Linked DNA regions of Notamacropus eugenii. The protein of the gene in region 2 interacts with the protein of the main gene of each other region in a biochemical or structural test. Links are inferred from orthologs where the notes say so. Each region holds a gene or a part of one and is shown on either strand. Other genes may lie near its edges.

Region 1 (10,296 bases), on a different chromosome or scaffold from region 2:
TCCCTGTTTGTGACTTCCTAGTTATCCTGGTTAGAGCTTCCTTGCGTACATTGGTTGGTTCCTTGTCTATCTCCCCCGTTAGATTGTGAGCTTCTCGAGGACCGGGACTTTTTGCTTTCCTTTATAACCTTAGCTTAGTGTCCCGTGCGTATTGACCTTTCCACCGACTGTGGTAGGCGCTGGTTCTACAAAGATCTGACCCTATAAAATATAGGAAATCATCCAGGCTCACCGGGAGATTACACAGGGGAGGGAGGTGAGTAAAAGTCACTAGATAAGAAAGGACAAAGTAATTTCGGAGATAAGGCAGGAACAATTCCGAGCACCCGCCAAGGTCTCCAGATAGCCGCCGCGGGGCGGAAAGAGAAGTTTCCGTTTTCACCTCTGAAATTTACACAAAACCCTCCCTCGTTAATTCCATTCATTCAGCCTGGGGTGGGTAATCGATCGCTAAGTACCCAGGGGTTAGGGGACACAAACAGCTCCAGTCTCCACCCGGAAGGGGTTTGCATTCTAGTGAAGGGACCGAGCCGAGATCACTGCCAGAACATCTCACTTATTCAAAAATAATACAAAGTAATTAGGAGGGGGGAGAGGATCGGGGGCGGAGCATCAGAGTCTAGAATTCTGCGGTGGTTTTTTTCCCTTCAGATTCAGAGGTCCGAAATCCCAAATCGTGCCCGGGGCCGCCACGTGGCGGGTGCCCAACTCTCGGGGATGTGGGACAACCGCACAGATAAGGAGGGAGAAGGATCCCAAGCGCCCCTGTTTAAGTCAGGTCTAGGGGCAACCTGCCTCCAGGCAACCCTAACCTCCCATTTACTTGTCAACTCGCAGGACGAAGGGCACCCGAACACCCAATTCCGTCCCCTAAACCTGGACATCCCAGCACTACTCCTTGCTCCCGACCCCCGTCCTAGGTTTGTTTCAGCCAGTGGCGACAGGGTGTAGAAGGGCGTTTTTCTCATTGGCCGGCAGGGGGCAGGGGCGAGCTGTAATGTGGGCAATGGGGATGTGGGCGGGGGTTGGGTGTGCGCATGCGCCCGCTGAACACTAGAGAGCGGCGGAGAAGTTTCTGGGGAGGAATCTAAGGGACGTCACGTGTGACGTCACGCAGGCGCAAGAAACGAGTAGACGAACGAAGAAGGAAGAGAACCGGGAGAGGAAGGGTCACGTGGATAAGCCTGAAGGGGCCCGCTCCGCGGGACTTTCGCCGAAGCTCCAGTGGCGCAATCGGTTAGCGCGCGGTACTTATACAGCAGTGCGGCCGTAGCGATGCCGAGGTTGTGAGTTCGATCCTCACCTGGAGCACAGACTTTTTCCCCCACTTTATATTTGAAATTTAATAGAGAATTATGAGTCCTGGCTAGGCGTGAATTCGCAGCCTCGGGCTCCTGCGCTCCCGGGATCCTGCGGGCTGGACGAGGTGCCGTTCCGCACGGCGGCCGCGAGGGGGCAGCCACGGTCTTTGTGATGGACTCCCTGAGGGTCACTCGGTCCCCTCGTATCAGATCTCGGGGCTCTTTCTAGACCCCAGCGTTTCTGGGACTCGCTCCCCCGCCCCCTCCGGTTTCCCAGAAGAAGAGGCCGAAGGTCACAGGAGGCCCAGGGAAGGGTCCCGATGGAGCCTCTCGGATGAAGGGGCGGGGTCCGCGGCCTTGACGCAAGGCCCCGCCCCCGGGGAGGCCTTCAGGCCTTATACGGGCATCGGAGGCCCCTCTCTTCCCTCCCCTCCCCAGAGTCGGGGCGGGGCTTCCGGGGCACAAGCGCACACAAACACACGCACCCCTGCGTCACTGACACGTAGCCTCCCGCCCAGCCTGGGCAGGGGCACATTCCGTCCCCATCCCCCCTCCCGCCCCATGCTCCTTCCCCAGCTAGACGGAAACTTCCCGTCCCCACCCACGGCCTCGGAGAGCGAAGAGGACGGGCAGAGACCCCGCACCCTTTCACCCCCTCCCCCGCCGTCGGTGGGTTAGACTGGGAGCTCCCGGAGGGCAGGTGCCGTCTGCCTTTGTGCCCAGCCTTTATTGGCGCAGGACCCGTACGCCGCAGGCGCTCCACCAGAGTCTACTGGCTGACGGGGAAGGGAGGAACCCCCGCTTCGACACCAGGAAGTAGACGGAGGCGCAGACTGACCGGGAAGGACCAGAGTTACAGGAAAGGGGACTTTATGAAGCGCCTCTGTGCTGGGCGCTGTGCTCGTTCATCGCTTTACCAGTATTTCATGTGACCACGAGGTTCCTGAATCACCGGGAGGGCAGGGACAGAGGCACGGACTCCCCAAAGGCCCCGAGAAGCCTCTTGGGATCCCTCGGACACCCGAGGAGACGCTTCTGAGAGTCTCAGGAGGGAGGGCAAGTCAGAGAGACCCTCCAAGACAGACACGCCAGCCCTAGAGATAAGGCTGGGATGAGAGACGAAAGAGGGGTGAAGGTGGAAACCCCTTGAAACTTGTAGCAAGAGACTGACAAAGAGATACAGACAAGGCTGAGGGATGGGAACAGCAAGTATGGAGGGCAGGTATCAGCCCGGAGGAAGATAGAAGAAATGGGCGTTGTGGAGAGGGACTCAGGACCCAGCCAGCAGAGCAGGGAGGCCGAGCCCGGACAACCTTTTCTGAGCTTGTTATTAAGATTGTAGTCAATCCCTTTCCCCACCCCCAGTCCTTCCTGGTGACCTCACCTGGGCCACCTCTTCAGGTGAGGGGGTGCCCTCCTTTCCTAGGTGAGTTCATCTGGAACCGCCCTAGCCTGGGGCCAGAGGAGTTAGGAACCAGCTAGACCGGCCCCCTAGGTCTCAGGACAGCCCTCCCCACCCCTGAACCTCAGGAGACGGACAAGAAGACAGCCTTTCACACATAAGATTACTCTTTTGTGAACTGTATTAGTTTTAATTAAAAAACAAACTCCACCAAAAAACAAAAATAGAGAGATTTCTTTTTTGTTTAGCTATATATATATACACACATATATAATAACCTTTCAAATATATATTATAGTGGCAGCAACCTCCCAATATTAGACAAAAGGGAGAGGAAACGACTGCATATATAAATACTATAAAACCCGTAGGAATAAATAATGTCGTCACCATAAATAAGGGGCCCCAGGTGAGGCAGGGAGACTTGGATTTGGTCTGGTTAGGTAGGATTTGAGCACCAGGGCTGGGGAGATCCCCATCCAGGGGAGACTTGGGGAAGCCTTTTCACAGCATGAAGAAAGGGGGGGTATCTCTTATTCTGACCCCCCTCTTAACAGGGTGTCTCAAAGACAGTACAGTTTTAACCTAGTAATGCTTACAACTGAATTAAGACTTTGGGGACACACTGTAATATATACACACATACATATATGTAGGTATATATACACATATATGTACATATGTATGTATGTATACACACATATGTCGATTCAGTATGCTACATTAAAAACCCACCCCCAGAACACCTCTTTGAGAGTTTTTGCTCGCCATAGGGACCTGCCCCGGGAGACTAGGCAATGGGTGAATGCTCTGGGGGCTAAGCAGATGAGGCACCTCCACATCTGGGCACAGCTGGCAATGGGGGAGAGGAACTTCCTGATCTCCTACTCAGTTAAGTTTGGAGTAACAGGGGTGTTCAGTCAGACACAGAGAGCCGGTTAAAGATGGGGAGCCGCCGGGGAGGAGTCAGGGCCAGGAGGTGTGAGTTAGAGGGGGCAAAAGCGCCCCCCACTGCTACCTCAAACACTGGGGAGTCAGACCCCCCCAGGCTGCTTCCCCCACTGCTGGCCTGGTCATCTGGCTCAGAGCCCAGGGAGTGAGCAGAAGGGCTTCGGGCCAGCCCCAGCCCCAGCCCCAGGCTCAGGGCATCCCTTGTGGGTCCCCATGTTCCCGTGGTCTGGCGGCAGGAGGGACAGCAGGTTTCTCCCACCGTGGCTTCCCGGGGCACTGGACCAGGGGCAGCAGAGAAGGCAGAGGGTGAGAAAGGGACCTCCCCGGGGGCGGTGGGCAGTGGGGGCGGAGAGGAAGGAGGGGAGAAGAAGCCCGAGGGGGAAGGCAGGTCCGGCAGACCTGGAGGGCTCAGGGTGGGAGAGCCCCGGCGTCGAGAAGAGGGGATCCCAGAGAAGCTGACACTCTGGCGGAGGAGGGGCGGGTGACCCGACACCACAGACAGAATTTCGTGTGGAGAGTGGATGAAATGGCAACGGTTTCCATAGGGGCAAGCGCCCATGGCTAAGAATTTGCGGCACAGCTCCGTCTTGTATTTGGGGTGGCGGCTGGCTGGCCGCAGCTCTCCAGGCCCGTGGGCGAACTGGCACTTGGAGCCGTAGCGGCATTTGCCACTCTCCGAGAAGGTCCGGCAAAGTTCCGTCTTGTATCTGGACGAGGAGGCTGCCCCGACCGGGGACGTGGAACCAACTTCCGAGGGCGCGGTGCTGACGGCTGGCACGGCTCTGGGCGGCAGGGGCTCAAAGCCCGGCGGCGGGGGCACCCAGGCGCGGCCCTCCACCAAGCTAGTAGAACGGCCTGGGAGCCGGGGACCCAGAGAGGCCGGGGCCCGCGGGGGTGAAGGTGGCTCCAGATCTGCGAGGCTTGGACTCCAGGGGCTTCGAGAGCCCCAGCCTAGGTCGGGGTCCAGTTCTCCGCGAGCCGCCGAAGCCAGCTCCGGGCTCAGGGACAGGAGTTTCTGTTAGGAGGGAGAAGGATCAGGGTGGGATCGACGGTCGGACCTAAGGTCGCTGAGCCGTGCAGAGCAGAGCAACCCCACCCAACTGCACTTCTGACCCCTGGATAGTGCCCGGGAACTAAAGCGTTGGTCTAGGCTCTAGAGAACTCCCCCAAACTCAGCCCCACCCTAAAAAGGGGGGGGGTGAGGGCCAGGACCCAGGCGTCAGTCTCCCGGTCTCTTTGCCCCTACTGACTCCACCCTAAGGCAGCTCAGAAACTAGAATCATTAAGTTTCCCCCAGTAACCCCCCAACTTAAAGAACCCCAGTTACTACTCCCAAGACACCCCCGGCGCACACACACACATATGCCCTGAGGAAGCAGCCTCACCTCCCTTCCAAGACTTGGGTTCCCTATCCTAGAGGGACCCTTCTCGGATCCCAGAGGGAACTCCAATTTCCGAGTCTGCCAAGCTATCTGCACTCAAGAAAGCCCCGTGGCACCCCAGTGCCCAGAAGTGCTGAGCGAAAGGGGAAACGTTGGCCGTCAGCGCCACGGCCCTCCCAACCAGACCTCAGGCAGAGGCGGCCGACACCTGGGTCCGCTGGTTCCAGAGAGGTGAGGGGGCAGGCAGGGGTAGGGCGAGAGGGAGGGGGCAGCTCACCTCGTAGAGAGCGCATAGTTCCAAGCCGGCGGACTTGGGCTTCCCGCCTGCAACGGCGCTTCCGTCCATCCCTGCGGATGCTCTGGCTCTGCGCGTAACCAGGACTGTGGGGAGGGTGGCCAGCGCGCTACTCTTGAAGGACTGCTTTTGGGGGAGGGGCCTCTTGGTGCCGCCCAGGACCCACCCATGGGGAGCTCCAGAAGCTAGAGACAGAGGAGGCGGGGGGACCGGGAAAGGGCGGGGACTAGGGAGGATTCGGGGGAGGAGCGATTCCCGGACTGAGTGCCCCCGGGCGGGGCGGGGGAGGCCCAGCACCTTACTCTGGGCGAAAAGCTGGCCCTTAGAGGTCCCCCAGTCACTGGATCACAACTCCTAGGATTTAAGACCTAGAAGGAAACTCAATCGTCTTCCAGTCTAATCCCCCCTCATTTTTCAGACGGGGAAACAGACCCAGAAAGGACCTGAAAAGATCTTTCCCAGATCCAAGCCCCTCCTTTTACCTATGTGGGAAGCTGAAGGTCAGGAACTGGAAACACCATTAAGGTCCCAGAGCCAGAGCCAGAGGCAGAAATGACAGACACAAGAGTAGATACAGTCAAGCACTAAAGACCTGAAAGCCAGATGTCAAGGGACAGAGAGACTCAGAAGGGGAGAAGCCGCCAGTTTACAAATTCTCTAACCCCAGAGAATACAACCAGAAGAGAAAGCTGGGAGATCATGAGTGGTAGATTTTCCAGAAGTGGAAATTGAGGCACAGAGAGGGGCAGGGATTTGTCTCAAATTCCTAAGGGAACTGGGCAAAGTCAGGTTTCTTGAGACAATGTCTACCATTCTTAGAAATTTTCTCGAGTCACTAAAGTCAGATTTTGGGGGAGATGGCCTCTTAGTTGGAGAACTGTCTGATTCTAGGCCTGTGTTGGGGCTTTTCTCTGACTCGAACACATTTAAAATAACAGAAATCTTCATTTTCCCAAGTGAAGGCTTCTCCTTCAAGTGCTCATTTTCCAGAATGAAGACTTCTGTGAGGATTAGAACTTGTGGGAAGCTTCTCTGGGGAGGGGAGGGATGGTCAGGAGGGACCTTCCCAGGAGCTGGGACCTCCCCAAGTCTCCCTTGGGTCCCGTGAGCCTGTGGTCTCCAATTTTCACCTGCGCATAGTGGCTGGCTCTCACGCTCCCCAGTGACTCACCCACCGCAGGGTGTGTATGTGTGGGGGCCCTTCCTGGAATCAGGTGACGTAAGGGGAGGGGGGGGGGAGCTGATCCGATGCTGGGGTTCCTCTCTCCTTGTAAACAGAGAGCTGAGGAACCTCAGTTTTCAGCATGCTCTTCAGATCTGGGCCTTGATTTCAGCTCAAAACAAGTGAAACTGGGACCCAGAGACAAGGTCACTGCCACCTGATAGGGAAGATGGAATGCTCTCTTCTCCCCACTTCAGAGGTTCCCAGAAAGAAAGTCCTTCCCCAAGACCCTTCCCCACTTTTCACTCATCCTAAGGGGAATTGGTTTGTCTTTCTCTTGGGATCTGAGCTTGTGGGTACATTCCAGCTTCCTGACTCATTCCCTGACGACTCTCTGAGCTCCCCATGCTCCACCCCCTAAACCAGAGTGTTACCTCACCATGCCTCAGAACCAAGGCTCCTGGGTCTAGGCCCAGCTTTAGAGGTAGAGTGGAGAGGGAGAGTCTATGAACCCCACTGAATTGGTCTCAATCAAAGACCACAGTTTTCACTCCCTCACTAGTGTCCTCAGGGAACCAGGGATCCTCCAGCCCCCCCCCCCCAAACAAAAAAATTCAATAATAATTTCAAAGATTTTGGGAACTTGGTATACAGGCTAAGTAACTGAGCATGTAGTTAGGAAGACCTAGATTGAAATTGTCCCTCACACACTTGTTAGCTGGGTGAACCCAAGCAAGTCCAGGAGCCTCACTAGACCTACTTCTTTTTCTATAAAGGGAAAGGGGGGTGTCTCTCTTAATTTCTAAGATGCCTTCCTGCTCTAAATCTATGATCTCAGAGGCCTAGCTGTTTAGCCATCTAGCCCGACTCCTTGGAGTACCAGGTCACCAGCCTGGCATCTACGCCCTTAGGTCTCAGGCCTCTCTACCTTTTTACAATCAGTTTAAATCAGTATATTTCTAGTGCTTAGCATCAAGCCTTACATAAAATGGACATTTGAAAAAATTTCTTCTAGCATCCCTCCTTTTGAGTCTTGCAGAAATATACTCCTCCAGGGTCCCAGACCTCTAACTCCCCCAACTCCATCTCCCCTCAAGGATTCAGGTTTTCACTCTCCTTCCAAATTTAGGTCATCACAACCCTCTGACCCCCTTAAATTCCATAGCCTATAACTAGTTCCTGGCTCCAAAGTTTCCCAAATCTCTGGGTTCCAGGAGTCCTTTCCCCTCCTTCCCAACCTCTGACAGCTAAGAGTACCAGATCTCTGACCTCTAACCCCTCAGATGACCTTACAACCTCCTACCCCCTAGCCTTTGGGGCCAGATCAGATCTACTCACCTTCCCAATATCTCCTGAAATTCCTTCCCTTTCTTATGAGGGGCCCCTCCTCTCACATTCTACCTCAAGACAGTCCTGATGTTTTCAGCATAGAAATGTGTATACAGTAAGCACTTAATGTTTGAATTGGGAGCATCCTCACCTTCTTTGTGGAATCTACGATTAAAAGCTTTTTGTCTCTTCACTTGGCACAGTGCTAGGCACATAGTAGATGTTTGTTGTTGACTTGAGTTGGCTCATAGTCTCCTCAGCCACATTGGCTTCCTCTGGCCTGTGAATACTTAAAACCCCAGGTAGCCTCTGCTTCCTAGGCCAGGAAGTTAGGTGTTTGGAGCTGTGAGAGGGAAAATCCCGATTTTGGGAAGTCTGGCAGTCACCATTGTTGGGAATCCCCTCTGGAACGAGATTGGGGAAAGGGTGGGACTGGGGGCCACGGCCTCTGGGATGGGGAAGGGGGAGGGGAAGGGGGCGGAAATTGGCAGATCTAAAAATATCATCAAGCTTCCGGCCCAGAAGGTGGGCAGAGTTTCCAGAACAACATGGGAGAGGGAGGCCAGGACCGGAAACCGCCAAGGCCTGAGAGAATGAGAGATTGAGAAAGAGACAGACAGACACAGACACAGAGATGGAAACAGAGAGAGAGAGAAGGGAGAGAGAAAAGAGAGTGACTGATGATCGGATCGCAGCCTTCTAAGCGTGTCAGACAACTCAGGAACACACAGGGCAAGGTGACAGATTGTGTCTCACTGTAGCTTTCAGATGAGATTATGTGTGTGTGCCCCCACGGGATTGTACTGGGAGGAGGAGGGGATGGTTTGTGTGTCAGCCCAAGACCCTTTGGGTCTGCCTGCCTTTGAGGGCTTCTGATGGTGCCCAGTGACATCTCTGCCTCATGACTGAATGTGTTCCCCCCCACAGGCAGGGGGAAAGGACAAAGTGTCCTAGTCTGGGTGTCTTCCCCACCCCTGGCTAAGGGGCCAGAGGAATTTCCCAGGCCTGGCAGAAGGGCATGGACCCTCCCCTAGGGGCTGACCACAGCTGGATCCCAGATGTTCCCGGAGAGGCTAGGTCAGGCCACCTCCCCTCCCTACCCACCAAGAGCACAGTTGCAGGAACCTGCTCCGCCCTTCTCACTTCTCCTTTGGGGCTAAAAATACTCTGGACCCTGGTGTCCAGGCCCCACCCCCCCCTTGCACAATCAGCTGATGACGCAGGCAGGCAAGCCCAAGGGGAGGAGGAAGATGAGGGGCCCGAAACTCTCCCCCCACTCTCAGGTGTCTCAGACAGCCTGAAGGGTCAGCATGAAGAGAAATGTAAAGATGAGGAAGGCTAAATCCATAATCCCTGCCTACCCTCCCTGGGTCCCGGTCCCCACTTCCTGGTCCTTCCCCAGCAGCAGGCAGGGAGGGAAGTTAGGGTGATTGACTTGAGACTGGCGTCACAGCTCCCTTTTCCTTGCATGTTCTCACTGAAGCCTCCTCCCCACCCCCTCACCCCAGTCTGGGACGCCCTTCCCTTTTCAGGGTCCTGGAATCATGGGACCTAAAAGGAATGTAAGACGTCATTTAGGCCAAGACCCTCTCATTAGACAAGAGAAAACTGAAGACTGAGGAGGAAAGTGCAAGTCTGCCCAAGATCACAAGGAAGCTGGGTTTCAGGACCTCTTATAGAGGTCCTTCTTAGAAACCCCAGCAGAAGTACCCTCCTTTCCCCAACTGTGATCCTCTTCTGCCTCAGGGATCCCCTCAGGCCCTCCTCCATTCCCTATTCAAGCATCCAGCCTTTGGCTCCTACTCTGGAAAATCAGAGTGTCCAGGGTTAGCCCAAGATCAGGTATATGCACTGGGGGTGCGGTAGCTGTGATTATATAACTGGGGGATTTCCTCCCTCCTCTTGGGAGCCTGGGGTGAGTCAGGAGCTGTGTCAGCAAAGCTGGTCTGGCTAGGACCCAAGAGCCCTTCCCCTCCCCCTCCCCTTCCTTCCCCTCTCAGGGACCCAGGCTTTCACCCTAGAGCTCCTCCTTACTTATCCTTGTCCCAATTTTCCTGGTGAAAGGAGATAGAAGGGGCGGGGAGAGGAGTGATCCAGTCAGAGGGAGAACAGAGATCCAGGGCTCGAGATACCCCCCTGGCAAAGGCAGCAAGAGCCTTAGCTACATCCAGAGACAGAACTGGCTAGGGGGAGAGAACGAAAGATCCTGCCAGAGACAGTTCGCGGCAGTGACAGAAGTCGGAGCAGAGAAAGTCAAACTCGGAGACCCAGTCAGAGACAGTCGCAGGCAGAGGACAAGGACTCAGAAACAAAGATCCCGGGACAGGGAAACCGAGGTCCAGCCAGAGACAGTCCTAGGCAGAGAGATCCAGCCAGAATTCCAGAGACTTCAGACAGAAAGACCAGACTGATAGTCTCAGGAAGAGACAGAGACAGTCCCAGGAAAAGAGAGATCTAAACAGGAGTCAGTCCCA
Region 2 (10,036 bases):
ATCTTTCTGACTCCTGGGCTGCCCTCTCTACTCCATCACACTCGCTCTCCAGGCAGGTACTATAGCTATATCCCCGTTTTAAGATGAATAAATTAAGGTCCAGTGACTTGCTCATGGTCCCACAGTTAATACTGTACATATCTGGGAGTAGAATTTGAATTCTGGTCTCCCTTGACTCCAAATTTAGTGCTATTGCCATGATTCCATATGGCTTCTCCTGCGTGTATGTGTATGTGTATGTGAGTATATGGATGTTTATTATACATGCCTGTACAGGTAAGGAAGGCTGAGGAATATTTTGAAAGTGGCAAGAGTTTTAGAAGTCTCTCTCCAGGTTATATCCAAGTGAAACCCCAACATGATAATCTTCATTTTTATCTTTTTTCTCTCTCACTGAATCTGTGGATTTTTAAGCCAACTATTTCCCAATGCAGGGTGGATGCAAGCATCTGTAGATGGGTGTGTACACAGTGATCTTCACCTATGTACTTGGGTACCTACTATTGCCTAGATGGCATCTGCATAGGAGGCTTATAGGGAGGGAGAGGAACTAGCCCTGTGATTTCATTAGTTTAGGGAACTCCTTCTACCAATGCAAGTTGGCACCTTCTCTGAAATTTAGAGTCTGAGAGCTGAACACTAAGCAATATATTGACTTGCCCAGGGGCCCTCAGCCAGAATATGTCAGGCAAGAACAATACCTCAAGGTAGATCTTATTGGTTTCAAGGCTAGCTCTCTATCCCCTGGATCATCTTGCCCCTCATAGTAACAATATTGATAATACCTTAGATTTTTTTTTGATAGATATTTTTGTTTTCTAAAGCACTTTCATACATCCTTTAAACACAACTACCCAGGGACTCTGTGCTAGGTGCTCCTCAAAATATGGTCTCAATCTGGGGTCAGAGGGAGCTTCTGATTTGATTAAAATAGGCATTGATAGCCTCACTTTACAGATGAAGTTATTGGAGTCAAACGATGGGGTATATAACTAGTTAGCAAGATAAATGGGAAGCCTAAGCTTTTCTCATACAATCACTTCCATATGTGAATCATATATGATATTGACACATGAACAATATATGATATTGTTCGTGTGCTTACATGCACAGATCCTCATGAGCTTTGAGTGTGTGTGTATGTTATGGGTGCACTTGGGTAGGAATGATGCCTTAGGTATCTTCATTCATTTATAGTTTGCCCTATGCTCTGCAGTGGATTGAGGATTAGGAGACCTGACTTCTAATTCTGACTACCCCAGTGACACTTAAAGTGTTTGAGTCTTAGTTTCCTTGTTTTTAAACCTGGCATAATAATACTAGCCCTACATATGTGGTTTGATCCTCACAAGAACCCTGTGAGGTAGACAGGGAGACTCATAACCATTTTACAGGTAAGGAAACTAAGGCTCAGAAAACTTAAGTGACTTCTGAGCCTCAGTTTCCTTGCCTTTAAAATAAGATCCAACAATAATAATAAGGCCCAATAGTAGGTACCAGAGTTAGTACAAGAACCTGACAGTCATTTGATTCCCTGTCTACTACTCTTCCCATACCCCACCTTTCAGTGAGGGTTAAGGAAGGAAAGAAACAAACAAGAAAGTTTTGTATTAAGTACTTACTATGTGCAAGGCACCATGTTAAGTATTTTACAAATATTATCAATACTCAACAATCCTGAGAGGCAAGTGCCAGTACTATCTCCATTTTATATATATATGAGTAAACTGAGGAACACAGAGGTTAAGTGATTTGCCCATGGCCACAAAGCTTGTAAGTATCTGAGGCTGAATTTGAACTCCATCAACTGACCTACCATATGCTGGACCATGTGTTAAGGTCTTCCTGACTTGAAGCTTAGAGCTTTTTCCATCAGGCTGCCTAATTGCCTCTTGACCAAACCTTACAATCTATCAACCCTGTATACTCTAGCATCTGAGGATTGGGTTTTGGGTAACTTGTTTATTCCAAGGCCAGCTTGCTCCTGGGCCTCCCCTGAGTCTCAGTTGGATGGGAAGATAGCTTCTGAGGTCAGAGGGTAGTTCCCAGGGCACAGAGCAGAGAGGCATTCAGCACTTGAAAGAAGGGTATCTATGTAGGTTGTATCTTTTATCCACCCTTAGAGGTAGAGGAGGACAGTAAAAGATCCAGCTATGGACAGCAAAGAGAAAATCTCAAGAGTCTAGCTAAGACTATCCTAGCCCACAAAGGCACAACTTCACTAATGACTCTGGGTTCTGTCGTCTGGGATCAAGAAGAATAAATCTAAACTTTTCTCTAGGTGATAGCTCTTCCAATACTTGAAGATCATATGATCAAGTTTCCTCTTTGGCTGTGCCAGGCTAAAAATCCCCTGTTCCCCCAGCAGATCCTTATATAGCATTTCAATCTCTTTACTATCCTGGTCTTCCTCCTTTGGATGTACTCCTGCTTGTCAATGTCATTTCTAAAATGTGGGATCTATTTCAGTTATGGGTCATGGGACTATTATTTTCTTGCTGTTGGGTATTTTGCTTCTTTTAACGTAGTCTGCTACTTCCTACCTAGTGATTACTTATATTTATATATATAAGCCTTTTAAGATTTGTACTTTCCTTGTAACATCTCCCGTAGGTAGGAGATCCCCATCTTACAGATGAGAAAACCTAGGTCCAAAGAGGTGACTTATCCACAGTCACAATCAGTATTTATTAAGTGCCTACTCTGTTCCATACACTGGGCTAAGCACTGAGGATACAAAAGACTGTTTTTGCCCTCAAGAATCTTAAATCTAATGGGGGAGACAACTTACAAACAAATATATACAATGCAAGCTATATGCAGAATAAATTGGAAATGGTTAACAGAGAGAAGACGTTGAAATTAAGAGGGGTTGAAGGTTTCTAATAAAAGATCAGATTTCAATTGAGACTTAAAGGAAGCCAGAGAGGTCAGTAGTCACAGTGGAGGAGGGAGGGCATTCCAGGTATGGGGGACAGCCAAAGAAAATTTCCAGAGATGAAATGTCTAGTTCATGGAGCATCCAGAAAGCCAATGTCACTAGATCAAAGAGTACATATGGAGGAATAAAGTGAAAGAAGACTTGAAAGACAGGAGGGGGCCAGGTATGGTAAGTGATCAGAGGAAGAATTTAAAGCAGGTCACACTCTTTCCATCCCACCGGGCAACTTTTCAAGCCCAGGACAGAATTAGCTTTTTTGGCCACCATGTCATACTTTTTTGACACGTTTAGTTTGCAGTCCATTGAAATCCCCAGATCTTTTTCACAGGAACTGTTGTTGCCTAGCCATATTTTCTCAGCATTTTGTATTTGTCCACTTGATACCTTTGTCAGTTCAAAAGTCATTTATTAAGCACCTATGATGTGGCCAGACACTGTTGGTGTGAAGCTTCATCTAAGGGTAGGACTTTACTTGGACCCCTATTCATTTTCATCCTAGATGTGTTCCCTATTTCTGACATGACTAGCTCAGGATGCCAGTGCTGCTAACCAGCTGCTAACTAGCTATCCTCCCCAGTTTTTGTTCATTTGGTAATTTGACATGCATACTATCTGTGCTTTCACCTAACTTATCAAAGTGTTGAATGCTGCCTTAGTTTCTTCACATGAAATAAATGAAAGAGAGAGAGAGAGAGAGAGAGAGTCCTAAGAACATTCCTTGCGTGTCTAGGGCAGCCCCAGAGTCAATAAGGAACTTTTTTCCAGATTCTCTGGTCAATATAAGTCATCAAAACAAAAAGGAATATTCAGGCTAAGATCAATTACTGAGGGGTGGGGTGAGGTGGGGAAAGGACAATTAAAGGGTATACCTGGAATGTAAGCTCTTTGAGGGCAGGGGCTGGTTTTCATTTTGTCATTTTATCTACAGCCTAGCCTGGTGCACTTAATACATGCTTGTTAAGTTGAATTTAACAGGGCCAAGTACAGATCCCTGGGGTATTGTACTAGATACCTTCTTCCAGGCCCACTGCCATGGATCTAGTTTTTCATTTCAGATCAAACATTTAAGTGCTTAGTACATAAAAGGCACTCTTCCAGGTGCTAGATACCACGCCAGAGAATTCTGGAATTTCCAGCATTTCGTTCAAAGGCATTGCCTGTAATTGTTGTCATCATTGACATTCTGTCCATCTTTAAAAGACCAATTTAGCTACCTCCTTTTTCTTTGAATCCTTCTGTGTTCAGTACAGCCAAAAGCGAGCTCTCTCTCCCTTCTAACTCTCATACCACTGGCTTTATCTTTCTTATTGTCCTTATCTTAGTCAGCCTTATATTGCAACATCATCTCCCTGGCTGGATCATAAACTCCTTTCGGGCAGGAACCACAGCTTAAATTTGATTATTTACATTTTTATCTGAAGTTTGCAAAGGCTTTGCTTTCATAACCTCAGTCGTCAAAGAGGTCAATCCCCTGACCCCCTCCTCTTTGCGAAAGAGGCTAAGGGAATCATCACTGTGAGTTTTCTTTCCAAGCTCACTTTAAAAGGAAGCACCTTTCTGAAGGTCCAACATTTCATCTTCTGGTCTGTTTTTGATATCCCCATTTTACAAAAGAAGCGATTGATGCTCCAAGAGGTTTTGACTCACAGAGAGGAAATGAAAGAAGGCAGACGACAGGAAGCAAGACTCGAACCCAGATCTCAGGACATCAAGTTCAATGTTCTGCCTCTAACCTTAGCACAGTACTTTCTTCACTTGAGCTACTTGATGTCTCTTGAATAACTGTCCAGCAGTCTTTATTGTCCCTCTAGGAATTCACGATTTTTTGCACTCCTTTCCCTGCCAGAGACTAGCTTTTCCCTTACTTTTTTGGAGTCACTTTCTTTCATAAAAGCTGGCAGAGTCCGATGAAGTAAGGCAGCTATTATAGTGATTTGGGGGTAGAAAACATGGGTTTGAATTCTGGCTCTGATATTTACTACTAGTGTGATCTTGGTCAAGTCATTTACTCCTCTCCACTGGGCCCGGGTTTCCTCCTCTGTAAAATAAAGGGATTGGATGAGATGACTTCTAAGGTCCCTTCTAGCTCCAGTTCCTACGGTTCTCAGTATCTTCGTGTCCTTTATCGGATGCACTTACGACCCCGAGTCACAAAGCCGCAGAATATTAGGGCTGAAAGGAACCCCCTCTTTTATTCCCACCAGCCAGAGCTGTCCAGGGTCTCTACGCTCACGCAGCCATCCTGAATAGGAATCACACAACTGAATAAAAAGTGGCCTTTCGCCTTGAATTACTCGGAAGGTTCCCTTTCCCTTTGTGTAGACCTGGCCTCCAAGAGAAGCCTCTTTTGATTTTCTCCCGTTCTCTGTCCTCAGCTTCTCCCGGCCGCTTCACTCCAAGCCCAGTCTCTGATCCTTCCCTTTAAGGGTTCCCCCTCCCCTCCCCCACACCTTCCCTTCTCCCGTCCCACCCCCACCCCCCTACATCTTCCAAACCCCGCCCCCTCTGGCCCTCCCCTTTAAGGGCCGTCCCCGGCGAGGCTGAGGCTCTGACGCGGCCGCCGGGCCCCGGGGCTGGATACATTGTCGCGCCGAGCTTCCCCCGGGCCGGCCCCCAGCCGTCCCCGCGCGGCTTCCCGCAGCGCCAGGCCCCCCGGGGGGCAGGCGCGAGCCCGCGAGCCCGGACGGACCGACGGACCGACGGACCGACCGAAGCCGCCGCCGGGCCGAGGCTGGAGCCGGGGCTGAACTGCTCTGGGGAAGCCGGCTCTGCCGCCGCTGGGGAGCAAACTTCCCAGCCGGGCGGGGGCTGGCGGGGGCCCCGTCCAGGGCCGGAGGAGGAGACGGCCCCGAGTCCTCCTCCTCCCGTTCCTGCTCCCCGGTCTCCCGGCACCATGCTGTCTAACTCGCCGGGCCAGACCCCGCCCGTGCTGTTCCCCAACCCTCCGCCGCCACCCCCGCCCCAGCAGCCCCAGCCCCCCTCCCAGCCCCAGCCCCCCGTGCTGCCTCTGCCGCCGCCGCCCCCTCCTCCGCCGCCGCCCCCTCAGCCCCCCCAGCAGTTCCCCCAGTTCTATGTCAAGTCGAGCCTGCAGATCAAGAAGAATGCTATCACGGATGACTACAAGGTCACCAGCCAGGTCCTGGGGCTGGGCATCAACGGGAAAGTTTTGCAGATCTTCAACAAGAAGACCGGGGAGAAATTCGCCCTCAAAGTAAGTTTGGGGCCCGGCAGGAGGAGAAGGGGACTCCAGGGGGCGACTGCCACCTTACCCGGGGAAACCAGGAACTGCTTAAAAAGATCTACCTGACCCTCCCTTGTCCCCCCAGCTCCTTCCTGGGAACCCCGAGCGTAAGGAGGGGGAGGAGGAGAGAGGGTGCTGCTGTCTGAGTTATTGCTGGTTGTTTTTGTGGAGTGTGTGACTTTGGGGGAGGGGAAGGTCAGAGCAGATTTTTGGTGTCCCTGGGATCGCGGGACAGTTTCCGGTCACCTTAGGGAGTTAGCGTAGTGAACTCCAAAGAGAGTAGGGAGGACTATACCATTTTGGGGTTTGAGCGGGCATCATTTGAATCTGCATTGGGCAGATCCTGGATCGCTTCTGCTTTAACACCCGTAGTCGGTGTCAAGGAAGTGATTTTGAAGGGTTGTGGTTCCCCATCTCTCCTCTCTCTGCCTCTCCCTATCTCTTTCCTTCCCTTCCTCTTCCTCCCCCCTCCCCTCCCCTTGCCTCCCTCTCTCGCTCTCTCTCTCTCTGCCGGCACAAAAGGCCCATTACTCATTGAGCTGGTTGGTTGGTTGGTTTGGAGAAGTCGGATCGTAGAGGTTTATTTTGCCTCTTTCCTTATTTGGGAGCCGGAATGTGTGATTTCACTTCCCTTGCTCTCTAGAGTAAAAGTCTTCTGTCTTCTACTTAAAATGCATTGGCCCAAAGTAGTGCCAGACCGGAGATTCCGGAGGGGGAACCCCGCCTTAGACCCATGGGTGGGGGAGGGTGATTTGTTTTGGCCAGTATGCCTCTTCCTTTTCTCAATGTCCACCCCCAACCCCCATATCACTCCAAAGAGGGAGGCTTCGATACTGTATCTGCTATTTTCGTAGTTCCATTGATCCAAATTATTATGTACGCTTTGACTTGGCCTTTTGAAGTTTTCAGTAAATCCTTGATGAGATGTGTGGGCTGGAAAAGAAGCTTCTCCTCCTGAAACCCTAAAGATGAGAGATTAGATGTGTCCCTTCACTAGGTACTGCTTCAGCTTTAGGGAAGAGGGTAGAGGGGCAGAAATGGGGGGGGGGGGGGCACAAGAAGGCAACCCTGTGAGGCAAGGAGTTTGACCTTGGAGATCCCACATTGGGAACTGGGACAAAGCAGACTAGTCTGAGCCAGGGGCAGGTCAAGGGGAATCATCACAGAGTTTTCTTCCCTTAGTGGTTTTAAAAGGAAGCACCTCTCTGAAGGTAAAACACTTCATCTTCTGGTCTGTTTTCGATAGGTATCTTGGAGATTGGAGGAGAGGGGAAAGTCCTTGTTTGCATGAGGGGACAGATGTGCAGTCCTGGGAAAGAGTCAACAGATTTGAGTTTGGAATCCTGGCTTTGTCACTTCCTTAATTAGCGAGGTTGGGTCTCAGTTTCCTCAGATGTAAAATAAAGATAGTATCTACAGTACCTCTCTCATTGGATTGTTGTAACAAAGGAGATAATGGATGTAAAACACTTTGTAAACTGTGAAGTGTTTGATGTAAGTTGTTAGTGTTAATTTCCTTCCTTCCCAAAGTATTTTTTAAAAGGTGTATGAATTCTTGTTTGAATAGCCTTTATTCCTTCTCTGAGGGATGGTGAATAAAAACAGATATATTGACTGTAGATGTGATGTACTGGCTCCAAAGCATGAGTGTTTTTTTTCTTAAACTGAACAGATAACTTTCAAATTTTCATTTGTAGTTGCATGTTTCTCTGACTCTAAAGGGATGAAACATAAGCTTGCAATGACCTGTTCTTTTTCAAACTGTCTTTTAAACCCCTTTTCTTTCTCAGTCCGTTATATTGGGGAGGAGAAACTAGAGTTATGACCTTGTGGAAGAATTCAAAGTTTGACCAGAGTTAACTCACAGTGTTAAGCCTGGCACAAATTCTTCTTTACAGGAGAGCTTGGTCATCAGTTGTTCAGGGATATGAGTTACTTGCGCTTTTTCCCAAGGAGTAAAAATACCGTATGGAGGTATCAGAACAGTCGCCTTATCATAAAAATAAAAGGCCTGGAGAGTTTATATAATTCACCAAAAACCTTTGAAACATTTCTTTATTTTTGCTTTGAAGGAGGAGAGTGGTTAGAGAGATGATTGAAATTTCTCTTCTAATTATCAGGAAAGTGATTTTGCCTTTTAAACATTTTTTCCCTTGTGGTCTTAAAGGGAGAATCTCCTAATGTTTTAAATGATACTTTTAGCACAATAGGTTTTTATGAGCACAATTTATCCTTCTCTGCAGGTTAAAAGTAGGTGAGAAGAATGAAGTCACTCTGTTTTGACAGACAGCCTGCTTCTAGATCTCATGAGTTGACTCAACTGTTAAATTGCACATTTCCCACACTTCATTGTGTAAAAGCTTAATAACAGAGGAAGAAAGCCTGGGTGAGGCATCAGGAGAGTATCAGCAATGTCAACAGCTACAGCATATCCAAATATTGGTTAAGACATAATTACAGGGGGAGGAGGGGAATGGGGGAATCTTGTTCGAAGAATCGTGCTGGAAATACACATGAAAGATCTTGACTTTTGATTACTCTCTTGTGCCGATTAGGGAAATCATATGTTAAAATAGTAGTCTTGTGTGTGAAGTTGAGGAGCTTGGAGACCAAAGTAATTGTCCTAGCTTGACTGGTAAATTGGGAGAAAGCCTGGGATGAGAGGAAGGGTCAGACTGGAGGCTTCCCAAACATTGCTTGGCTTATTGAAGTATATGTTTTGTGGGTAGAAATGGGTGATATAGATGGACCCCTTTGTGGCTATGCTTGGTGAAGGGAAGTTGAAGTTGTTATGATGCTCTGAGCCTTGTCTGAGGTCTAATGACCTCTCATTCCTGTTAAGTGATGGCTTTAAAAAAATGACCAGCTTTGCTCCTTCCTTTCTAACTAACCTTTAAATGTGTTTTGGTGGGTATTGTGGTCTTACCTTGTCATATCCTCCTTGCTCTTGCTAAGTATTTTTTTCCCCTTCTCATAAATCTAGAGAAAGGGCCTTGAAATCTGGAAGGTCTCTGTTTGAATTCTATCTTTGGTACTTCTCAGCTGTGTGACCCTGGGCAAGTCACTTCTGTTTTCTTCATCTGTTAAAAAAGGGTTTGGACTAAGATGACTTCTGAGGTCCTTTCTGGTTTTAAATCCTTGATTTGTTATGGCTATGTACTTTGGAAGTCTTGACTTTAGTCCTTAAATATATCCTTTACACCTCACCCCGTCCCCAAAGCAAATCTTTCAAACTTAAATACTGTTTTTCAGGGTTTATAGTTGCTTTTCATGGAACTCCCTTGTGAACCATGTAGGGAAAGTATTATATTTTGATGACAAGAAAACTGAGGTTTAAAGACCAGTCACCTAGACAGTAAGCATTTGAAATGAGATTAGGACTTTTTCCCATACAGAAACTCCCACTCCTCCCCCCAGCTGTCATTGACTTTACCCTCCTTGGCCCCTTGGTCATTGCTGTGATGCTAAAGGGTGTTTTCCACTGTTAAACCATGCTCCCCTTGAGCCTGACATACACTGTTCTCACCATAGGTGTTACTTTGAAATGTAGGTGAGGAACCCACAAGGCAAGAATCTTGACTAGGTCATGGGAAATTGTCCAGAGTTTGAGGTGGTTTTTAAACCAGAACTCGAGGGATTATCGCTTGAGAACTGGAAGGAGCCGTAGAGGTCATTCATGTCCAACCTCTTGATTTTACAGATGAAGAATCTAAGATTCAGGGAGTTGTGACTTGCCCTAGATCATACAGGTAGTGACCTGGGGAGGTCCTCGGACTCTGAATTTCACTGCTTCTTCCTTGCTACTATTTGAAAAGTTTTCCCTAAGAATCAATCCTAGGGATTGTTTTTAACTT
Region 3 (9,725 bases), on a different chromosome or scaffold from region 2:
ACGAGTAAGTTCAGTGGGCAGGCTGGGAAATAAAACTGAATAGTTCAAAAGGTACCAGAGTATGAAGGGCCCTGAATGCCAGGTAAAGGGCTTGAACTTGAAGTGATAGGCAGGTAAGAGAGAGAGAGCCTTTGCATGTTCTTCAGCTGCAGAAGGTCCTGGAGAGAGATAAAGTCAACAGTTTTTTAACAGCTTTTGAGGAAGAGAAACACCCCCCAAACCTACACCATCACCATCTCTTCCTTCATGGTCGCAGTGAGGAAAGAACTTTGCAAACTCTAAGAACCTAAAAAATGTAAGATGGGCTGCACAATTGTGATAAGCGCTCCAATGGGGCACCTGGAGATGCAGCTAAATAAAGAAAGGTACTTATTAACAGATATTACTGGTGCCAGACTCATATCCTCCAGATGGATTAGGTCATGCCACTCCAATCCACTACTTAACAGGAGAGTGTAGGTGTAACAATACAATGCTCTTTAGTCTTTATGAAAGAATGCTTACTTTTTAAATAGTTCATATTTTTAAAGACTACTACCATAGAGCAGGGGGCAGCAAGGTGGCACAGTGGAGAGAGTGCTAGACCTAGAGTCCATATCTGGTCTCAGACACTTCATAGCTGTGTGACCCTGAGCAAGTAATTTAACTTAATTTGCCTCAGTTTCCTCATCTGTAAAATAACCTGGAGAAGCAAATGGCAAACCATTCCTGTATCTTTGCCAAGAAAACACTTAAAGGGGTCACAAAGAGTTAGACACAACTGAACAACAACAAACCATAAAGCATTTTGTTTTGCTAATTAAGCTTTGCAAAATACTTTACAAATATTATCTCATTTTATCCTCACAACCACCCTTAGAGGTAGGTGCTATTTTCCCTATTTTATAGTTGAGGAAACTGAGACAGACAGGTTAAGTAACTTTCCTTAAGTATCTGCCATGGCTAGGAGGTAGCACAGTGGATAGAGGGCCAGAGGTAGAGTCAAGAAGACCTGAATTCAAATACAGTCTCAGACAGTAGTGGTGTGACCCTGGGCAAGTAACTTAACCTCTATCTGCTTCAGTTTCTTTATCTGTAAAATGGGATCATGGCACCTACCTTCCAGGATTGTTGTGAGGAACAAGTGAGATATCTGTAAAGCACTTTGCAAACCTTAAAGAGCTATATAAACACTCTTGGTGGTGGTAGTAGTGGTAGTAGCAGTAGTAGTAGTACTAGTATCTATAAGGTTCTATCTGCAAAGGCATCCTGCCCCCAAGGTGGTATTTGAACTGAATTTTCAAGGAAGCCAGGGATTCTAGGAGACACAGCTGAATGAGAGAAAAGCATTGCAGGCTCTGGTAGTGGACAATCAGTGCAAAGGCACCACGAAGGGAGATGGATAGATTATTAGGTCTGAGGAGCAGTAGGCAGACCAGTATGACTAGACTAGACTGTAGAGGGAATGGAGGAAAGTAGCACCTAAAAAGACAAGAAAAGCAGGAAAGGGCCAGCTTATGAAAAGCTTTCAATTCCAAAGGATTTTATACAGGGTATTCCAAAAGCCTTAGTGCAGTTTTAAGCTATCCAGGCTTAAAATGCAGGCATACCCTTCTATTTGATCCTAAAGGGATAGTAAGCCACTGGGGTATTGAGCAGAGAGAAGTGATTTAATCAGCTGTGCTGGAGAAAAAATCTCTTTATCAGCTGTGTGAAAGATAAGATTGGAGACAGATGATCGAAGAGGAAGGCCAACTTGCAGGCTAATACAGTAATCCAGGTGGGAAATGAGACTTTCTACTGGGGTGATAACTGTGGGAATAAAGAGGAGATACTGTGAAAAAAGAGAGAACAAGATTTGGCAATTGATTCACTGTAAAGTGAGGAAGGGAGGAGTTGACAATGACATAGTATATATAATAATATGTGATATTAGTATATATCATATTAGTATCATATATACTGCAGAGAAATATGAGACAACGTCCCCTGCTAAGGGCAGGGGATATGGAGAGGCAGTACAGAGCAAGTCTAATCTGTCTTCAGCATGAACAATCCTTCAGCTATTTGAAGGGAGTTATGTGCTCTGTCTTCTTTTTTCCAGGCTAGCTTCAGTCCATGCAACAGCACTTGCCTTCCAGGGTTGTTGTGAAGATAAAATTAGATATATGCAAATTCTAAAGTGCTCTGTAAATCTTAGTTAACATTCTTCTTCTTAATATAGTTAGTATTACTATATTTGAGCCATTGACACTGTGGAGACATTTTCTGATCCTGACACCCAGGACAGGAGTTATCCTTCTTTGGGTCAACTACAAATCTTATTTGCATAAAATCTTATGCCCTTTATTTATCCAGGGCATTAATAAAAAATATTCCTGGAATATTCCAGGAGTCAGGAAGACCTGAATTCAAACCTTGCCTCAGACATTTGCTAGCTGTGAGATCCTAAATAACTTAACTTTTCCTAGCCTCAGTTTCATCAATCTGTAAAATGAGGATAATAAGAGTATCCACCTCCTTAGAACTCTGTGAACTTTAACACATACACACACACACATGTAAGCACATATTGTGAGGACACATGTGGTCGTGTACATATGTACACAACATGCGTGTACACATATATGTGCCTTTGGTGTGCACATTCATGTGTGTACTGTATATATGTGTGCATATGTGTCATGTACATACATACTAGCCGTAAAACAGCCCAGGGCCAAGGACAGATCTCCAGGAGGCCCCATTAGAAAACTCCTTCCAATCTGATAAGAAACTGAACTTATTAGGGACTACTCTTTGGGTCAGGTTACAGCCAGCTGTGAACTTTGAACTTTCATTTACATTTCTCCACATTATCCATAAAGATAACAATGGCTTTGCTGGAGTCTGTGGTAAAACTAGCAACAGCACAGCCCTGTTCTACCAGTCCAGTAACTCTGTCAGAAAAAGGAAATGAAGTTAGTCTACCCTTCCTGGGTAGAATGAAGAGCCTTCATTCTCAAGTGACCTCTTTCACATTCATTCAAAAAAATTATTGGAGGGGGAAGTGTTTTTTGGAAGAACGGTGAGTACGGGGGAAAGGCTATGGAAGTGCCATCCTCTTCATCCTCCTACCCCCTGGTATGAGGTATTCCTCCTCCTGCAGCAATTCTAAAAGCTAAATAGATCGCCCTCACCAGCAATGGGGGGAGGGTAAAGAGGGGGTGGGGTAGGCAGAGTGGAGCAGGGAAGGTCAATTACCAAGAGACTTGAAATATGCCAGATAAAGTGTGGTTTACATAACCAGACTTTATTTACCAGCTCTATCATTCCCAGACACTTCTGCTGGGATGGATGTAAAAATAGTTATGTTGTTGGCTTAGACGTACAAACAAGTTGTGTTATTTTGAATAAAAAAAGAGACTTCTTTCCTCCCTTCGGGGTAGGGGCATGAGGAGGAGTGGTTGTAGAAACTTCCCAGATGCCTGGGTGTTCTGAGGCTCCTTCTGCGTGCTAGGAACATGATTCACCCCAGCCAGCATAGGCTGACCACTTGCACAATGCTCTGAGTCCTGTTTCCCAAGGGGTCCTTTCTTCCTGCTGTATCACAAAGCAGATGAATCGAAAAAGTATTTCCCCCTCCCCCACCTCAAAAGAACTGGCAGCTAACTTGGCCCAGAGGTGACCGGAAGGGGAAAAGACAGTGAGCCCAGACTGCATGACAAGAGGATTTGATGGAAGACGTTGGCAGTTCTCAGATTTCCTCATCTGGTATCTGCCATCTTAGAGAAGGCAGATGGAACCTTAAAGAGTATCGATGAATCCTCATTTTACAGGTGAGGAACCAGAATCTCAGGAAATAGAAATTACTTATCCAGGGTCACATAGTGTGTGAGGAGCAAAGCTAGATTAGGAACAGAACCTATTTTTTATGATGCCTGGTGATCAGTCTGTTTATTTACAACCAGACCACCAAGTCATTTCACTTCTGGGGGCCTCAATTTCTCAACCATAAAATAAGGGAATTAGATGAGCTTTAAGGTTTCTTCTAGCTCTAAATCTATGATCCTAAGACAGGCGAGTCCCATAAGTGTATCCTACTTCTTTCATGCAGCTAGGTGGAACAGTGGATAAAGAGCTAAGCCTGGAGTGAGGAAGATCTGAATTCAAATCTGATCTCAGACACCTACCTCCTAGCTGTGTGACCTTGGGCCAGTCACTTCACCCTGTTTGCCTCAGTTTCCTCATCTGTAAAGTGAGCTGAAGAAGGAAATGGCAAACTGCTCCAGTGTCTTTGACAAGAAAACCCCAAATGGGGTCACAAAAGAGTTGGACAAAACCGAACAACAACTTCTGTCACACAGCTATTATAGAGGCTGAAATTCTCTATTTCTAAGAACCAGATAACTTACCATGTAGCCTTCATTTCCTCCCACAATGTCTATTCTCTCGTCCACCATATGGAAAATAAATGGCAGCAGCGCTGCCCACACCACCAGGGGAGCAGCATTGTTTGGCCCAGACACATGGTTCCACTAAAACCAGCAGAAGTAAAGCTGGGAATTGGGAGTCCTAGGTTCTATTTTTCACTTCACCATGGGAGCACTACTCTGGGCAAATCACTCCCAGCTCCATGCCTCATTTTCCCCAACCACCCATTGTGAGGTATAACAAACAATTACACCATGCCAAGTCTCAGATGGGTGATCATTTCCCCCCCTCACCCCCCACCCCTGATAAAACATGCTCATGAGAGTAGTGAACACCAGTCTATGATCCGTACCTCATTCATCCTCACCCCATCTCTTGAAAGAAAGTCAAGACCGCAAGGGACCGTTGACGGGAAGCCAGTCTACACAGAGGGGAAGCCTCCTAACCCACACTCACACAGAAAGTCAGTGGCTGAGCAGAGAACCCAAGAATCCTCAGTGACAGCCTGGCTTTAATGTATGCCAGAGCTAGAACTCCCTGTGTTTGATTGTTCTAGAACCTTGGTCTGTATTCCATGCTAGTGTCCAAAAGAATCGGCATTATTGGGCCTTTGGAGATAGAAGAGTAGTAAGTCAAGAAGAGTAGTAAGTCAAGCAGTTCTGAAAGTAGGGAAAGAAGATGGGGAAATGTTCATTAAAGTCTTTAATTGCTATGTCAAGATTGCCCTCTGGTGGTAATAGTCAAGGTTCTAATTTTGTTGTCCAGCTGCTTCCCATCCTTCCTCCATTATCCCAGGTATTTCTGGGCATATTAAAGCAAGGAACCTGGATGGTTAGAAACTTACTCACTGGTGTCCACAAGATCACACAGAAAATGTTTTCTCCATTCCCTTTCTCCCCCAGATTTCTAGCATTACCAGTCATTTGGCCACACGAACAACTGGGGGAGAGGGCTTGAGAGTTTGGAGTTAGAATGACCCTTCAGACAAACACAAGCTATTTCCAGATCTCAGGATCTAATTCTGGTGTTCAGAATCTCTCTCCTACACATTGTCAGGTTTGAGGATACCATACAAATTTCAGCTGCCAAAGATGGGGACAGAGTGCCTGAAAGTCAGCTAATCGGTATTTACTCTGAGTCCAGTTTCCTTCTATCACAGAATCTTCTTGATCTGGGCAACGGCAGCATGCCCACCCTTTTTCTTATAGACCCTTCATATTAAACTCAGAGATTTTTCTTCTTCATCAACAAATTCATTCCAGCTCCTAGATTCATCTCCTGCATAGATCACACAGCCCTGTCCTTTATTGCTGCTATCTCTTAGGGAACAAGATTGCCAGAATTCTGTTCACTGTTGTCTCCAAGATCACAGAAGAAATTTCTCTCAACCCCTTTCAGTTTTTGGTTCAAATCTCAGACCATAAGAAGGGATGCAAGTCCAGGGAAATCTAAATTCAGCCGGGAGAAAGGGAATTCTCTCTTCTGATCTATTAAAGCTCCTAATGATTTCCTCTCCACACATTAACTTGGTTGTTGTTATGGTACAAGTGTTGCAATTACCTTTCTATCTTCTCTTTTAATGGTATTTTCCTCTGTGGTCATTGGGGAACATAGGACTCTGAGCTTCAGCTCCCTCTTCTTGGCAGTCCTCACTCCTTCAATCCATATTTCTGACAGTTACCAGGGTAACCATTTCCCATTACCTATGAGATTTCCCATCTCCCCATTCTGCTTTTCCTGGCCAGCTGTCTTGGTCAAGTGCTGATAACTACTTCATCAACAGAGTTTATTCAGGCCAAACTGAGAAGTCATCAAAATTTGACCCCACTCCAAACATCTCCAAATCATAGAATGTGAGAGCTCAGTGAGGGTGGTTGAAAACAATCCCATATCCTTCTGGTCCTCCCTTAGGCATTTTCATCCCACCAGCAGCAGCCAGTGTCTTCATGCCCTGACTATCCCAAAAATCTGGTCACTGGATTCAGATGGCTCTGGAGGAGAAGTGAGGCTGGTGACCTGCACAGCCCTCACTCACTCAAAACAAAGTCAAGTGCAAGTCATGTCATTATTTCTCTGATGGCATGGTCTTCTTCGGCAATGAAGGACGAACACCCACATCCCAAAATGCTCCCCATTGCAGCATCTCACCGAGACCTTTCCTCTTCCTTTCCCTGATCTCTTCCAAACTTGTCTGGCTTATATCCCACACCTTTAGAACCCTGCTTCCCTTTCATTGATCCCCTAGCTAAACTGGGATACTGATTTCTGTTAATGAGTTTTTATGTGAGGGGTTGAGGATAGGAAAGGAGGGATTATATAATCAAGATCCCACCAGTAGGAGTCAGGGTGTGATGTGAAGGATTTTACCAGGCTCCTTGCTTTCCAAAGATCCCCTCTATTAGTGTGCCATAGTCCCTGAAATTCTCACCATTGCAGTTAATTCTATTGGATTATGGTATTTTCTCCAGAAGGCCTCGTTTAAACAGATATTCTATTTAAGTAATATGCTAACACAAATGTTTGATACTACTCACAATTTTAGGTTTGAGCCAGTGGCTCAGGTAGAATTCTAGAGCCCCAAACATCTCAAAAAGGTGAACCTCCTTTATGTTGACCAGTAAATACCTCTTTAGCCCCCTACAGCCCTGTATGTAGCTACTGAGAATTCCACTATATTAGGTAGTATTTCTGTTGTTAAGTTATTTTAGCAGTTTTCCTATTAAATATAATTAGGGATTTAGCAGAAGTAAATGTTGTATGGAAGTAGAATATTTAAATATATCATTTTATCTACCACTCTGATAACTAATGATCTTCTCCATTGTAAGATGACCCACATCAGGAAGAAAGTCTAAATATTTTGAAAGAATTCTCATAAACACACACACACACACACACAAGTGCTCACATACACACATGCACACACACATAAAAACACTATCAATCTATAGTGATGTCTGATGACATCAAATAGGATAATGTAGAGGGAAAAATAAACTATTTTCCTCACACTTCAAACAGTATCCAAAGTCCTGAAAAAAGACAGGTGTTGTTACCAAAAAAAGTAATTAGATAGGTAAACTAGACTATCAGGCAGTGATTTTAAAAAAATCTGAATTTCAACTTGCTTCTTAATCTCCTAATATGATAAATCTAGGCTGAACTTCCTCTTTATCTCTTCCCCCCAGAGCTCCCCTCAAAATAGAAAGTCTTAGAAATTCTTGGGAAGTTATAAGTTACTTACTTATAGCACTTACTTAACAAACCTCATACCCCCTCCCCCAATCGTTATTTAACTGTCCTTGGCAGCATCTTTAGCTTCAGCTAAGCTTCTATTTCCTCCCAGTTTTATCCTGCTTTCTAACTCTTGATAGATTTTTTTTTTGGTAAAACCTGTCAACATGAGATCTGAAGCTTTTTTCTTTTACCTGAATGTTGCAGATGGCTTTATTTGTTTTTTTAGTATACTATGAAATTTGAGTAAAATCAATGCCTTCAGCCTGATCTAGAAGATATTTGTTATCTGAGGTGCCCTGTACAATGAAAGTACTAATGACTCAGGAAGGCAGGGTCTTTGCTCCTTGTGATGCTGATCCTTCTTCACTTGGATCCCCTGGGAGATGAGTGGCAGACATTCACAGATGACTAAACAAGTTCAAGAATGAAATATATGGCCATGTAAGAGACCTTTTCTGGGCAACTTTGGGGGACTGAAACCTGACTTTCCCCCTCACAGAACCTTTTTATCCAAAATTCAAGTCATTGGATGGTGTTCCTTGAAAGCGAACTGTTTTTTGCCTTACTTTGTATCTCCAGGGCTTAGCGTAGCATCTACCACACAATAGAAGCTCAATAAATGTTTGTTGGCTTGACTGAATATGACAAAATCTAACATGGTACAATGGAGAAAGTCCACACGTTGATCTCCCAGACCTGATTTTGGTCACTTCATCAGGTGTTTATTAGCTGTGTAATCCTAGGCAGTTCACAGCCTCATTATGCCTCAGTTTCTTTATCATAGCAATGGAGACAGTGTTAAATCTGGAGGCTGGAAACCTGATTCTGAATCCTAGCTGTGCCATTTACTACCTGTATGACCACCTCTAGTCCTCGATTCCTTTGGATAGAAAATGAGGCAGTAGGGAGGCACTGGAGTTGGGCAGGGGATGACAAGGTGAGACTTTTCAATTTCGAAAGATGGCTTTGGAAGCTGAGTGGACAATAGGGAGAGATTTGAGGCAAGGAGACCAACCAAAGGCTATTGCAATTGTCCGAATGTGATCCGTGCCCACAGTAGGGTGGCAGTTAACTGAGTGAAGAGAAGGGGACATTTATAAGAAATGTGAGTGTAAAAATGGCAACACTTGCTAACAGATTGAATACGTGGGATGAGCGTATGTGAGGAGTCGAAGATGACACCAAGATTTTGAGTCTGAGGGATGGAGGTGCTCTCAACAGCAATGGGAAAGTTGCGGGGGGGGGGGGGGGGGGGAAGAAATAATAAGTTCTATTTTGGACGTGCTGAGTTTGACATACCTCTGGACCATCCAGTTCCAAATGTCCAAAAGGCGGCTGGTGATGTTGGTCAGGAGAGAGGTCAGGAATCTGAGAATTTTTTGTATAGAGACGACAATTGAACCCATAGGGGTTGATAAGACCACCAAATGTGATAGTATGAAAAAAAAAAAGGTCCAAAATACACTTGGAGGAGATCCACATTTAGGTGGAGGAAAATCCAACAGAGACTGAAAAGTAAAACAGGTAAAAACCTGTTTAGCTTTTAAAATTCTTTAACATATCCCTTCCTATTTTTCCAGTCTTCTTATACTTTGCTCCCTTCCATGTGCGCCCACACACACACCACCACCACCACCTAACTCTCTGCCTTCTCATTGGTTGTCCCTTGTACCTAAAATGTTCTTCTCCTGCCTCTTAACCTCCAAGCTTCTCTGTCTTATCTCCAAAATTCAGCTCAAAGCCCACCTTCTGCAACCCCTTCAAGATTACCTCCAATTTATACTGTATAATGTTATGTAGTTCTTTGCATGTGGCTTCCTCCATTTGAACATGACCTTCTTGAGGTCAAGGCAGGGACCTGTGTTTTGCATTTCTGTATCCTCAGTGCTTAGCACAGCGTCTTGGAATGCGGTGAATGCTTGCCAAATGCTGTTTGGGCAGCTAGGTGGCACAGTGGCTAGAGTAATGGACCTGGAATGAGGAGGACTTCAGTTCAAATCCAGCTTCAGACATGTACTAGCTGTGACACCCTGGGCAAATCACTTAACCCCGTTTGACTCAGTTTCCTTGTCTGTGAAATGAGCTGGAAAAGGAAA

Evidence for each region.
Region 1: of the proteins of MAPKAPK2 (region 2) and ZFP36, one has a biochemical effect on the other in vitro, tested with the Homo sapiens proteins (2 studies listed by BioGRID). The link is inferred for Notamacropus eugenii from reciprocal best matches to the Homo sapiens genes MAPKAPK2 and ZFP36.
Region 3: of the proteins of MAPKAPK2 (region 2) and ZFP36L1, one has a biochemical effect on the other in vitro, tested with the Homo sapiens proteins (2 studies listed by BioGRID). The link is inferred for Notamacropus eugenii from reciprocal best matches to the Homo sapiens genes MAPKAPK2 and ZFP36L1.

The regions. Positions count from the first base shown.
Region 1 is NC_092876.1:32,194,337-32,204,632, reverse strand, and holds ZFP36 (mRNA decay activator protein ZFP36), read right to left. Parts: upstream 5,499-10,296; 5' UTR 5,383-5,498; coding exon 5,314-5,382; intron 4,670-5,313; coding exon 3,620-4,669; 3' UTR 2,867-3,619; downstream 1-2,866. UniProt on the Homo sapiens protein: Zinc-finger RNA-binding protein that destabilizes several cytoplasmic AU-rich element (ARE)-containing mRNA transcripts by promoting their poly(A) tail removal or deadenylation, and hence provide a mechanism for attenuating protein synthesis.
Region 2 is NC_092873.1:432,631,642-432,641,677, reverse strand, and holds the start of MAPKAPK2 (MAP kinase-activated protein kinase 2), read left to right. Parts: upstream 1-5,487; 5' UTR 5,488-5,834; coding exon 5,835-6,152; intron 6,153-10,036. UniProt on the Homo sapiens protein: Stress-activated serine/threonine-protein kinase involved in cytokine production, endocytosis, reorganization of the cytoskeleton, cell migration, cell cycle control, chromatin remodeling, DNA damage response and transcriptional regulation.
Region 3 is NC_092872.1:310,773,244-310,782,968, reverse strand, and holds the start of ZFP36L1 (mRNA decay activator protein ZFP36L1), read right to left. Parts: upstream 4,707-9,725; 5' UTR 4,422-4,706; coding exon 4,374-4,421; intron 1-4,373. UniProt on the Homo sapiens protein: Zinc-finger RNA-binding protein that destabilizes several cytoplasmic AU-rich element (ARE)-containing mRNA transcripts by promoting their poly(A) tail removal or deadenylation, and hence provide a mechanism for attenuating protein synthesis.